Drosophila melanogaster: one gene and its partner. The protein of the gene in region 2 interacts with the protein of the main gene of each other region in a pairwise test. Each region holds a gene or a part of one and is shown on either strand. Other genes may lie near its edges.

Region 1 (3,681 bases), on a different chromosome or scaffold from region 2:
GCGAATTAATTACATTCGACATATTGCCTCATAAATTAGTTGGATTTTGCTTTTCTCATGAAATCTGTGGAGCCGAATGAAGTGATTGATTGATGAAGTGATTGGCGGAAATTAAAAATTCAAGTGCAGATAAAATTAATTACACCCACCCCTATATACATTATTTAGATTAAGATTAGAAAGTTCAAGGCAAACTTTGACTGTAGAGATAATAAGATTGTATATTAGATTGTTACCTTAAAAGTGGGCGCAAAGTTGGGCTGCTGCTCCTCCAGCAAGCTGAAGGCGTTTCCCTTCTCCCGGAGCAGATTCAACTGGTCGAGCTTGAGCAGATCAGCGTATCGCTGGTTCTCCACATCCGTGCGGACATCCCAAGCGGACATATCGCCGGAGAGACGGAAGTTAAGATCGCCAAACCAAAAGACAAAGTCGTGATCGAATATCCGGCGATATCCCTGCGCATTGTACTTGTGATTGTCCACGATTTGGTGATAGTCTTCGATGCGCTCCTTCAGCTTCTCATCGTGCGCCGCCAGATGGGAGCAGACGAATGCGACGCCAGTTCCGTAGAGCGAAAGTCGAATGCTTACGGCACCCTTGTTGCCCCACAGCCCTCCAAGTCCCGTGCGCGTGGCTTCTGTCTCGATTTCTTTCATGTGCGGGATGTGCTTGTGCTGTGCGAACATGGTTATAAGAATTCCCTGCAGCTGCTTCGAGTCCACCTTTACGAACTGGTGATCGCTCAGAGAGTCCGCGATCTTCAGCACCCACGGATCGTCATTGAAGATTTTTAGCACCTGCGGTGTGGTGCTCACCTCCTGGAATCCGATTACATAGATATCGGGCAGCTGGTTATCCGGACAAGTGGTGGTGCCATTAAGGGACAAAAGGGAGCTCAGATCCTGATTTCGCGGCGTATGGGTGCCCACGTTCCAGGTCAAAAGGAAGATGCACAGATCCGCAATCGCCGTGGCCGTAACCATTTTTCCGCCGTCTAATTATCTATGATTAATACTTGTTGTTTTGGACGTCACAAGGTGGCTGTTGATGAGTTCATGGGCATCCAAAACAGGTTTACGGATTTGGCAGCATCAGCAAATAAAGCGAAAGGCGTTTTGCACACGCAACTTTCATTTATGTAACCGTTAATTCTTCAGCACTAATTTTTTAAGCCGCTTTAATTGGACTAGGAAGCGCTAGTTGCCCGTATTATTTATAGAATACTCAGATGTCGTTATTTATGTTTATTTGTCCGTCCGTTGCGTGAGCTTAGTGTGACCGCAGCACAACTATTTAAATATACCTTAGGCGGCGGCAAAAATTTTATGGTATCTCGATAGTAACGGAGCTCTGAAGCTCATCGAAAACATCGGCTAACATGAGCTTCTCATCTAATTTAGATTTTTATTTGAAACACATTAGATATTATAAAAGCCAAAAATCAATTTAAGAAATATAAAGATATAAGATTAAAAGTTGTACTGTGCGTAAGTTCCTTTAAAATAATAATACTCTTATTTCATTGTTTTTTTTTTTACGCGAGAATGCCCCTTTGCATTTGCTTGTGCTAAACCGATATTATCGGCAACTAGTCAATTGTGTGTACACACTGGCTAAGGATTTTTCATAAAAATAAACACTTTGTATAAACTTACCTTCCGAACTATTTTACTTAAGTTAAAAGTATGGCTAACAGCTACGACATACCCAGTTGGTGCGTTGTCAAATTCAGCCGCTGCCTTGCCACAAAATCACGTAGCATTTTATTTATTTTAGGGCTGGAAAACCGCCCACTGGCTTACATCTGGATGTGCTAAAGGACGACAAACTAGTACAAAAACTGATGGTGGATGAAAAAAGATGCTATCTATTTGGTCGCAACAGTCAAATGAACGACTTCTGCATAGACCATGCCTCTTGTTCGCGGGTCCACTCGGCGTTTGTCTACCACAAGCACCTCAACATAGCCTACCTCGTGGATCTGGGGTCCAGTAGGTACTAAGATATCTGGGATTCGGAGTAAGCTTATCCATTTACTTTTGACAGCTCATGGCACCTTTATTGGAACACTCAGATTGGAAGCGCACAAGCCCACACAGCTGCAGATTAATAGCACCTTCCACTTTGGGGCTTCTACCCGGAACTACATACTCAGGGAACGACCCTCTGGCCACCACAGCAACATCATGGAAGACCTGCCGCTCAGTGAAACCAGCGATGGAGCTCTCCTGGGCCTACCCGAAAGCCAAACGGAGCTTGATGTGCGTTTGGTTGAAAAGAAAAGCTAAATACTATGTAAACTAACCTTCCATTATCCTGCAGAATCTCACAGAATACAACACAGCCCACAATCGGCGCATCTCAATGCTGGGCATCGATGATGATACCAATATGCGAAAGCAAAACGCCTTGAAACAGGGACGGCGCACTCGAAATGTCACATTTAACGATGAGGAGATTGTCATCAATCCTGAGGATGTGGATCCTAATGTGGGACGCTTCAGGAACTTGGTACAAACCACTGTGGTGCCCGCCAAGAGGGCTCGCTGCGACGTCAATCATATGGGCATCCATTCGGGCAACAGCAGTTTGTCCAGTGCCAATGCCGCACATGTACACCAAATGTTCCAGCAGAGCCTAGTTGACATGAAGCAGCAGCATAGGGAAATGCCTCCGCCCAATGCGGTGCTCCACTCGCCTACTAATTCCCTATATCAAGGTCTACCGGCCGAAATGCATGGCAAGGGTGACCTAGAGCCCATCTCCCCGCTGAGCATTGGTTCCAAGTTGGGCCTATTGCTCCCGAATCCTGCGCCTGAAGTGCTGCCAGTCTATGACGAAGCTGTGGAGACCTCGACATTGGCTCAAAAGTTGGCCGTCGCTAATGCAAACGGTAATAGTTCTCGCGACTATTTGTTTAAAAACTTACTGATTGTTTATAACACCATTTTAGTTCGTCGCTTTGGTGAGGATCCGCATGACTCGAGTGGCGAAGGCGATTCGCTGTGCCCACAGAAAAAGAAATACGCCAAGGAAGCATGGCCAGGTCGCAAGCCCATGTTGGGGCAGCTGTAATTGCGTATTAACAAAATAATTAAGATTCCACCTACGATTTTCTCAAGCATATGATTGACAACACACTCTGGAGTAATATTTGTTTATTAGACTTTTAACGTAAAACAAAACATTTAATATCTTTATCTGATCACATCTTGCAGCTGTGTGGATACCTGGGGAAGGGTATCACATCACGAATGTTTTTAACGCCCGTGACAAGCTGCAAGTAACGCTCAAAGCCCATTCCAAATCCTCCAGTTGGAACTCCTCCATACTTTCGCAAGTCAACGTACCATTCCAGATCCTTCGGCAGATGCGGATGGGATTTTAATATAGCAGGATCGCTTTCACGCAGGCTCCCGCCGCATAATTCTCCAACAGCTGGCATCAGTAGGTCTAGGGCATGAACTCGATTGGGATTTGAACGCGAGACTTTCATGTAAAAAGGTTTCTGCTGAGCTGGCCAATCCACAACGAATACGGGAGCACCACAATGGGCCACTAAAAAAAGTTCTTGGTCCTTGGAGAATCCTTCGTTCAGGCTAATAGGAGTCTTAAGACTGTCCTTGTTTTCCTGCAGTACTTGCAGGGCTTCATCGTAGCTCATTATCTTCCACGGTACTT
Region 2 (9,272 bases):
GATTGGAAAGGTCAGCGCACACAGGCTGGAAGAGGTGGTCTATCACCTTGAGGAGGGCTACAAGGAGAAGCTAGGGGCACTGGAGCGAGAGCTCAAGCAGCTGAGTGTTCAAAAGGTGCAGCCAGAGCCTGTGCAGACTGTGCCAGTTGCCTCGAAAATACCCAAGCCGGTGGTTCGCAAGGAGGAAACCAACATTGATCGGATTCGCAAGCAGGTGGAGAGCGAGTTCCTCAAACAGAAACATGACGATGACACCTATTCCATTGAGGAGGCGCCACGAAAAGGTTCGGAGAAACCATTCCCACAGCTGGTGACCCAAGTTCAAGTGGTGGAAAAGGAGCAGCCAAGTGCTGGAAGTTCGGACAGCAATCCGACTTATACGAAATCTCCAAGGGAACCTGCTCCTAATAAGCAGGAAACGAAAGAAGCCACGGACGTAAGCGATAGTCTCAGCCAAGAAGAGACGGAGAACGAAGAGGAGCGCAGCCTGACAGAGGAGGAGGGGACCGATGTTCCCACCTCCGGGTCGGAAGCAGCACGAGAGGATCCAACGCCAAAAACAATCAAGCCTTCTGGAAGAATCATCAAGTGAGTGTTTCGATGTTAAGCTTTCTTAGAGTAATAATAATCCACATGTTTTAAGGAGCCCTCAAAAACCACTTACTCGCAAGGATGCCCGGAAGATGGTCAACCGGAAGTTGATGTCTCACGGCTTCGATATGAAGTCCAAAGGTATTTCGCATAACTCTTTGAAGAGAGTGAACTCCGAGCTGACAGAGCACCGCAACAAACTGAAACTGGTAAGCCTATAACTGCCAAAAACTAATGAACTTTTGACAATTCTGGAATACCCTTTAGCAACATCCACATTTTTACGCCACTCGAAATCGCATCCGCAAGTTTGTCGAAAAACTGTGCTCCGCCAAGTTCTCGGAACGCGCGGAAATGTTGCTGAAGCACAAGAGTCCACTCAAGCCAATGGAGGTTCCAGGCAAAGGGATCCCGAGGTCTGCGATCTCTGAAAAGTCTGAAGAGGATATAGCCAGCTCTCAAGGCGAAGAGCAGACGGATGAGCAAACGGATAGCAGCGAACAGCAAACTCGAAGCCCCAGTCCTCAAAGACTAGTTAGTCGCGATTTCAAGGCTCGTCTGGAGGAGATCCTGGTCAAGCCGGCGGCCACTATTCGAGGAGCTTCCAAGTCGTCCCTGAGTTCGAGGCCAGTTCCGCTGCCCAGGAAGCGGGTGATGTTCAACACCACGGAGGACGGGAAGAGCTTCAATGACAGCGATGATAACCTAAAATGAGTCAATAAAGATGATATTATAATACTTTGGGTATAAATGTCAACGATACGTTTAATAGCCAATATATCATAAGATAATTATATTCCTTTATGAGTACCTATCACCTGTTCAATGTACCGTACTTAACTAAAAAATATTGTTTTTTAAATGAATTTGCATATTCCGGTCACACTACCTTTTACCGATAGCTGCGCGCCGTGCAATGGATAGGCAATCGATAGGCAATCGACTCGCGCTGTAAACAATCGACGTCACTAACCAACGTAGATGAAAATTTTTTAGTACGTCGCGAGTAAAACGTGCATTAAATGCAATAAAAGGGCAGCTGGCTAAGGATCGGAACGATTGAAGTCAGCCAACCTCAGAGGGGTGAGCAACCGAGGCAGTGAATCCGCGAATCCGTGCATCCAGCTGACCAAAGGGCGAGATTAGCCCAGCACCGAGTTTCCATCCGCACACGGACACGGCGCACACACACACAGGCACACGCAGCCCGTGCCCATCGATGAAATAACATACATAACGAACGTATACCGAAAATACACGGGTTACGGGAAATAGCAGTTGCTGCAATCGGCGGATAAGCGAACTTCAGGAAGCTGAGCAAGCGGGCCCACAAAGATGTCGGATATCATGAACATCGACAGTATCATCTCGCGCCTGCTGGAGGGTAGGTGTTAGGGCTCCAACTTTTGATTACCTTGCCCCCACCCATCATCACCCATTCCCCACATGCCTTGCCACCCAACCACCGCCCACTCTCATCACCTTAACGTAAATTTTCCCTGCTTGGTTTTCCATTGCAGTGCGCGGTGCACGACCGGGAAAGAATGTTCAGCTATCAGAGAGCGAGATCCGCAGCCTGTGCCTCAAGTCCCGCGAGATATTCCTGTCGCAGCCCATACTCCTGGAGCTGGAGGCACCGCTGAAGATCTGCGGCGACATACACGGACAATATTATGACCTCTTGCGCCTGTTCGAATACGGCGGCTTTCCGCCCGAGTCAAACTACCTGTTCCTGGGCGACTATGTCGATCGCGGCAAGCAATCCCTGGAGACGATATGCCTGCTGCTGGCCTACAAGATCAAGTACGCGGAGAACTTCTTCTTGCTGCGCGGCAACCATGAGTGCGCCAGCATCAATCGCATCTACGGGTAAGTGGGGAGGCGGCTCCAAAAACAGGATGAAGCTTGATGAAATGGTTAGCAATCTGTTCAGTTCAGCACCGAAACAATTTGCTTTCCTGCTTAGATTACTGAAACTCATTTGATTACAATTTATATTATTCTTACGACTCGTATTTACTTCTGATGACTATGTACTTTTATACATGCTATAGAACTTATAGTTGTTTATTGTTTACGTGAGCTTTAAAAATTTCCCAGACATATTGATGTCTACTTATGCTTCCAAGCTTATTAATACTTTCTAGTTTATTGACGCACACAACGATATCCATTACAATTAAATTAGCCATACTTCAAATACATAAAGTAAATGCCACATTCTATAGCAATAATCCATAAAATTACTCAACTAATTGCACTTAATTGGCAGGTTCTATGACGAATGTAAACGTCGCTACACCATCAAGCTGTGGAAAACTTTCACGGACTGCTTCAACTGCCTGCCGGTGGCCGCCATCGTGGATGAGAAGATCTTCTGCTGCCACGGTGGCCTGAGTCCAGATCTGTCGTCCATGGAGCAGATACGACGCATCATGCGTCCCACAGACGTGCCCGATCAGGGACTGCTGTGCGATCTGCTGTGGTCGGATCCGGATAAGGATACCATGGGCTGGGGCGAGAATGATCGCGGCGTGAGCTTCACATTTGGAGCAGAGGTGGGTTCTTCGCATTACACTGTTCGCCACAATGTTGTTTATGCATTCGCTCTTGCAGGTTGTGGGTAAATTTTTACAGAAGCACGAATTTGACCTGATCTGTCGGGCTCATCAGGTAGTGGAGGACGGTTATGAGTTCTTCGCCAAACGTCAGCTGGTGACGCTCTTCTCGGCGCCCAACTACTGCGGGGAATTCGACAACGCGGGTAAGTGATCATTGTTCGGGGACTTTAGTCGGAGATAAACCTTGTTTATTTGGAGAACAACCACGTTGCACCCTTGTACTCGGTGATTTTGCCTGCCGATAAGCTGTCGGCAAGTGAAAGCTGGCAACCAGATTTAAATTCAACTCGGAAAATGCGCATTTAAAAATAATCAATAATCAATACCGAGAATGAAACTACCTATGCACGACACCCGCTTCTAATGAATTGATTAATCATTATTGATTACGTTTACAGGTGCCATGATGTCCGTGGACGACACATTGATGTGCTCCTTCCAGATATTGAAACCCGCCGACAAGCGACGATTTGTTTATCCCAACTTTGGCAGCTCAGGACGTCCTTTGACACCGCCACGCGGAGCTAACAATAAAAACAAGAAAAAATAAACACTGCACACCTCGAACGAAGCACAACAACAACAGCAACTACAAACGGCCACACACACAAAACACAAATAGGGAAAACAGAAAGGAGAATCCGTGTGTCCACATTCAACGGAAAGCGCAGAGAGTTTGTTTTTATCATAAACGTGTAATCGAATCGTGAGCAACGTTATATGGGGAATATGAATCTACACAAATTAGCCTATCTTTCATTTGAAAAGGAAAAAAAAACAAAAACAAATAAGGAAAACGAAACGAATGAAATGAAATTAAGAAACCAGAAAACACAAATCGAGACACTTTAGTTCAAACTAATGGTAGTGTAAGACACTGCATAAGCAAGAATATTTTATCTCCTAATGTATTAATTTTGTTATAATATTTCCTTGCGCAAAACCCACACACTCACACACACACACACACATACACATGCTCAGATCATCCGTACAGTAGGTACCATAAGTGCACGCACCGGTTGTATTTTAATTTGCATTTCCAACTCGCACAGCATTTTAATTATGTATGCCGATCCTGGCGGCACCTTTGGCAAAGGTCTTTAACCACACTTCCCTTCTTCCTTGTTTTTTTTTTTTGCGTATCTAAGGGAATATTAGCAAATGGTAACAATGTTAAATTTTATGTTAATTAAACTGTACGAGAATGCTTTTAAATGTGAGTTGAGGTTACTACATATTACATATGTATGTACTCGAAGCACGATTTATTTTTGTAATATTTGACATCGATACATGTTTACTTAGTTTTAAAACGAGGAAAGCAATTTTAGTTGCAAGCTACAAAAGCTTGAATTGTTTACACCAAAAATATTAAAATAAACAAATATTGTGAATATTTTTTAACTGTTTGCATTACACAAACACACACATACAGGCAAGCACGCACACACGATTTTAAGGAGAACCCTGAAAAGTATGTTTATATAGACAAAAATAAACCCGAATTGAAAATCTACCTTAAGGCGAACGCTTTTGAGCGGCACTGTGTGCTCTCTGCTGATGTCAGCGACGAGGCAGATAATGTTACCCCCTTTTAATCCCCCGCCCAGACGAAAGGAAAGCAGCGGCCCCAGACCCATTAAGTGCATGTGAAACTCACACGAAATATAGAAAAAAAAATCGAAACAAAAATAAGCAAGTAATAAAATATTTGTAAACAGCAGCGCAACAAACACAGACACAAACACTGTTTATCGTACAAGTGTACACTTTTGTGTATTTTGCATTCTACGACTAACGTCGCAACATTCTAGTGCTAAAGGCCGCCACATTCAATTACAAGTATTATGCCCAGGCAGGCAGGCAGCGATCCGGAGCGATGCAGCCGGACGCAAGTTACCCAAAATGGTTTCGTTTGTATAATCCAATCCAATCCAATCCCCGCCCGACAACCAAGCAACCTACTAACAACAATCGTGTAACCTACGGACAAAAAAAAAAAAACAAAACCAAAAGCAAAGCATGAGTCCTCTTCTATTTCACACTCTAGTACTCTGTTCAATGTTGTAATGAATTCAACGTATATTTACGACTATATATGTACTTGTAATAATGCGATCCAGTACGACATCGGCTGTTTTCAACCCCCAAAAAACACAAGTCATAAGAAATCTATAACGTAATATCGTAAAATTAAAGTGTAATTGACCCCAAGAAGGAAATTAGAAAAGACAGATGGGGTAAATTTATAATGCATTCAAAGCGTAAATTGCAAAAAAAATAAAATACAATAAAAAAATAACAAACAAAAAAATCATTTAAAAAAGAGCTAAAAAATGAAACAAAAAAATACAAATTAAACAAAATGAACACAATGACGAAGCACTTGTAACAAAATAGCACTGTTTTATTAAAAAAAAAATTGAAATACATACTAGCAATAAATATGAAATTCGAGATGTGTTTTTACTTGAGTGAAATGCATGTTAGTTTCTTGTTTAAAAAAGCAAATCTATTATTTATTGTCTATATAGTTGGTGTTACAATCTAAAGCATTTCGAGGACTTTAAAATCTTATTTATAACTTTACTTTATGTTGCTTAATATATTGCACTAAATTTACTTTGTATAGCACTTTGTGTTTAGTTATATCGCAGTGAGCAACTCTTTCCCAAAGGAGCACATGTGCCACCCGTGCCCCTGCCATGTCGCTCATCCTCCTGGAGCCTCAGCTGGAGCAACTTCTGCCTTAAGGCATAAGGTGTGGTGGTGGTGCTGCTGCTGCTGCTCCTCGTCACTTCCTGTTGCCTGCTCTCATTGGCGCGATCTTTGTTCCACTTGTCCGAGTTGTTGAAAATGATTTTATCATATGCCCGCTGCAGGCGCAGCTTATCCTGGCGGACATCACTGAAGCATTCGCTTGTGTTCATCAGGCGGAAGTGCTGCAGGGCCTTCAGTTGCTGCAGCTCATCGTTCGCCTGTTGTTTGGGATACTGAACTGGGCGTGGCGATGGCGTCGAGTTGCCACTGTAAACCTGACCCTGACCTTGGCTCCTCTGGCGACTGGCGACGCATGCGCTCTGCTCGTAAAGGCGACGATTGTCCGTGTACCTTTCATGATGGTTCGTGTTCGAGGTGTCAATACCTCCTGTTCGTTCCCAGCCCCATCGCAAAACCTTGGCCCTGCTCTGCTGACGTTGCTGGGAGGAGCTGCAGCTGCAGCTGGAGCAGTGACTCACCGTGGTGGCTGTGGAGTTCCGGCGACTGAAGTCATTGACCAACTCGGTGCTGGAGTGGCCTAGGCCAAATCTGGGCTGGTTCTTTACGCTCGGACGTTTTATAAATTGGGTGGGTCGTAGGCTTTGTCTGGAAGAAGAGGTCACCGACCTGAGATCGCCACGTGGATGATGATCTCGATTGAGCGCAAGATGTTGCGACTGCCGCTCACTTCCCGATCTCATTACGCCACAATAGCATTTGTGCATTTTGGAAACTATTGCGTCTAGATTTTCCGATGATTTCAGTGATAATTACTTATCTTTCAGATTATTCTATTCCCCAAACTGATTGCGTGCCCGATGAATGTTGAGAGACTACTGGCGACAACCGGTTTCCACACTTATGGTCTGGTACTTTATCACCAATCATCATACCATATGTATATACCGTTAGCCGGCTCAGCTAAGCACTCGCATATCGTTTGTTTATATTTGAACAACAATTGCAACAGTTTCCATAGACACATGTCGAGGTCCTTGGGCCGTTTATTTTTGGCCAAACACTTGCTGGCAGACTCATGTCCACACGCATACAAGTGGATGCCTAAGCCCAGTTGGACAAAAAAATGTGCTGGCCAAACGAAAGACTTAGGCAACAAACTTGAATTCGGTACCATGAGTTCAATCGTAGAATTACAATCAAAGAATAGTGTTGTAAATGATCAAAAGAGATTGATGGGATGAAGCAGAGCGAATTTAAAGAATCAAAAGCAAAAGGTATAATTTTTTTGATTTGATTTGATAGTTAATATATACATTGTGATTTGCATTGTTATTATACATTTTTAAAAAGGAATGAAAGTGAAAATCCTAAATATATAAACACATGCTTGCAACTAAGATTTCATCTTTGGATTTTTCTGAAAATTTTTGATTTCCCAATTACCTATTTTACGGACTTCCAGTTTTAATGATGCCCGTTAATCCAAATTGTGCATTTAATTTAGCGGTAGCCACCCATAAGATTAGCCAATTCGCTTAACCCAAAATTAGTTTTCCCATTTGTGCAAGAATTCGACTGTTGTGATTTCAGCACACCAAATGTTGCCAAATATTGACCCAATAAAAACTAGTTCCTGTGCACTTGTAGAATGTACGCTAAGTCCGCTCAAGTGTCCGGCTTAAGTGGTTCGATTTGACTTCCTCGAAGAGAGCGAAGCGTGAATATCGTATAAGCCATATATACCCCATATTATGGCCATAAATTATGTTGACAACCAGGTAAGGTTCAATGAACCGCATAGCGGGGGAAAATTAAATCGAAAGGGCAAACAACAGCAACGAACAGGGTTGCTGGGTGGCTCGGTCATTGGTCGTTGTCGTCACTTGTCTTCCACTTCCAGTGGTCATTGGTGGTTTGGCTATCTTGGCCTGGCCAAAAGCGGCGAGCCGGAAAGCAAAAGTGGTTCGCTCACTGGCTGGCTTAATGGGCCAAAGCTCGGCGCGATTGAAAATCGATGGGTTTTCGAGACTCGCAAAAGCTCTCCGACTTCCAACGTTCAGAAAGCCAACTTGAGGCGCCGTCGCCGCCGCTGAAGCTCGGTATAAAAAGACGATCGGCGGACGCATCCCGTGTACACAGTGATAAGTCTTCGGCCAGAACCACCTGTCACCTGAACCGAAAACGGAAGTCGCGCGCGCGTGTAGCCATCTCTTCGTGCCGAGTGTCAATTGAAATTTGGCTGTGGCTCTTGGTCAATCGATTTCGTACATCCGATCCGATTTCGTACATCCCCCCGGACGAAATATGTCAAAATACTCGCTACTACTAATGCTGCTGCTAATCGCTGCGGTTGCGCAGGAACTTACTGTAACGGCTGCGCAAGAATTGCGTAAGTACTGCACCCAAAAAAAAAAGAAAAAAATACAAATAAAAAACAAATAAATTAAGCAAATCGAACATCAACTATTGCGGCGAGTCAAAAGTGCAAAAAACTTATAGATCGTATTTGCTTTGGCGCTATGCTTCGGCTACATCTATTTGCTTGGCACCACATTTATGGTTAAAACGTGATCGATATGGCTTATGGCTCTTTAATTTCGTTTTTTTTCATTTGGGAACTCGCGTTTTGGCCTGCAGACCAGAAGGTCGATCTCTGTAAGATTCTCTAGTGGCGTTTATAGTTGCATGCAAATTTGGAGTGTTATTACAGCAAGTACAGTAAAAATCAGTAGAGTCACGCCGGCTTAGACTTAAGTACTGCTTCAAATTGGGATTCTGGGATTTACCTTATTTATATACTGGATTTTTTTTACATTCTATACTTTTTAAAATATGCATGGTCAATTTCAGTTTAAGAAAGCCTGACAATTTCCCAGAACTGGAACTAATATTTATGTTAACGTTGCTGTAGATCCATAGAAATTGTATTTTTAAGTGTTTTCATGTACATTTTAAATACTTTAGAATCATGAATAATTACTTTTCTTGGTTTCAACATTAATCAAAGCTAGATTTAACTTTGAATCCCAAAAGAAATCCAGCAAGACAAATATGAACAATTAAAAACAATTAGCGTGGGAATCACCGAAAAGCTAAATAAAATTATTTTCCATGAAACGATTAAAAATGCGATGGGCTATTTCCAAGATAATAGTTTTGGCAATTAAAAACGAGAATAATTGAGGGGAGATATAAAAAAAACAAGCGACCATAAGACTTTATGCGCTTCATTTGCGTGCTGCTAAATGGTCAAGATCAATTAAGATCGGTTTTTTTTGGCAGCATTAGAGGTTTCCAGCTACTGAAGTCCACTGTAAACGGCGGTTATGCAATTGA

The links. Proteins that work in one complex are often made in the same cells at the same time.
Region 1: the proteins of Pp1alpha-96A (region 2) and NiPp1 interact in a two-hybrid assay, tested with the Drosophila melanogaster proteins (3 studies listed by BioGRID).

What each region holds. Positions count from the first base shown.
Region 1 is NT_033778.4:17,003,063-17,006,743, reverse strand, and holds NiPp1 (nuclear inhibitor of protein phosphatase 1), read left to right. Parts: upstream 1-1,594; 5' UTR 1,595-1,685; coding exon 1,686-1,714; intron 1,715-1,776; coding exon 1,777-1,991; intron 1,992-2,046; coding exon 2,047-2,261; intron 2,262-2,322; coding exon 2,323-2,893; intron 2,894-2,953; coding exon 2,954-3,075; 3' UTR 3,076-3,181; downstream 3,182-3,681. Other genes in the region: CG6805 (uncharacterized protein), read right to left, coding at 237-983; AsnRS-m (Asparaginyl-tRNA synthetase, mitochondrial), read right to left, coding at 3,206-3,681.
Region 2 is NT_033777.3:24,516,733-24,526,004, forward strand, and holds Pp1alpha-96A (protein phosphatase 1alpha at 96A), read left to right. Parts: upstream 1-1,537; 5' UTR 1,538-1,926; coding exon 1,927-1,975; intron 1,976-2,111; coding exon 2,112-2,460; intron 2,461-2,863; coding exon 2,864-3,149; exon of another isoform or gene 3,150-3,207; coding exon 3,208-3,355; intron 3,356-3,610; coding exon 3,611-3,762; 3' UTR 3,763-5,599; downstream 5,600-9,272. Other genes in the region: DZIP1, read left to right, coding at 1-588, 644-800, 859-1,305; CG13622 (uncharacterized protein), read right to left, coding at 5,858-6,700; Jhbp12 (juvenile hormone binding protein 12), read left to right, coding at 8,241-8,325.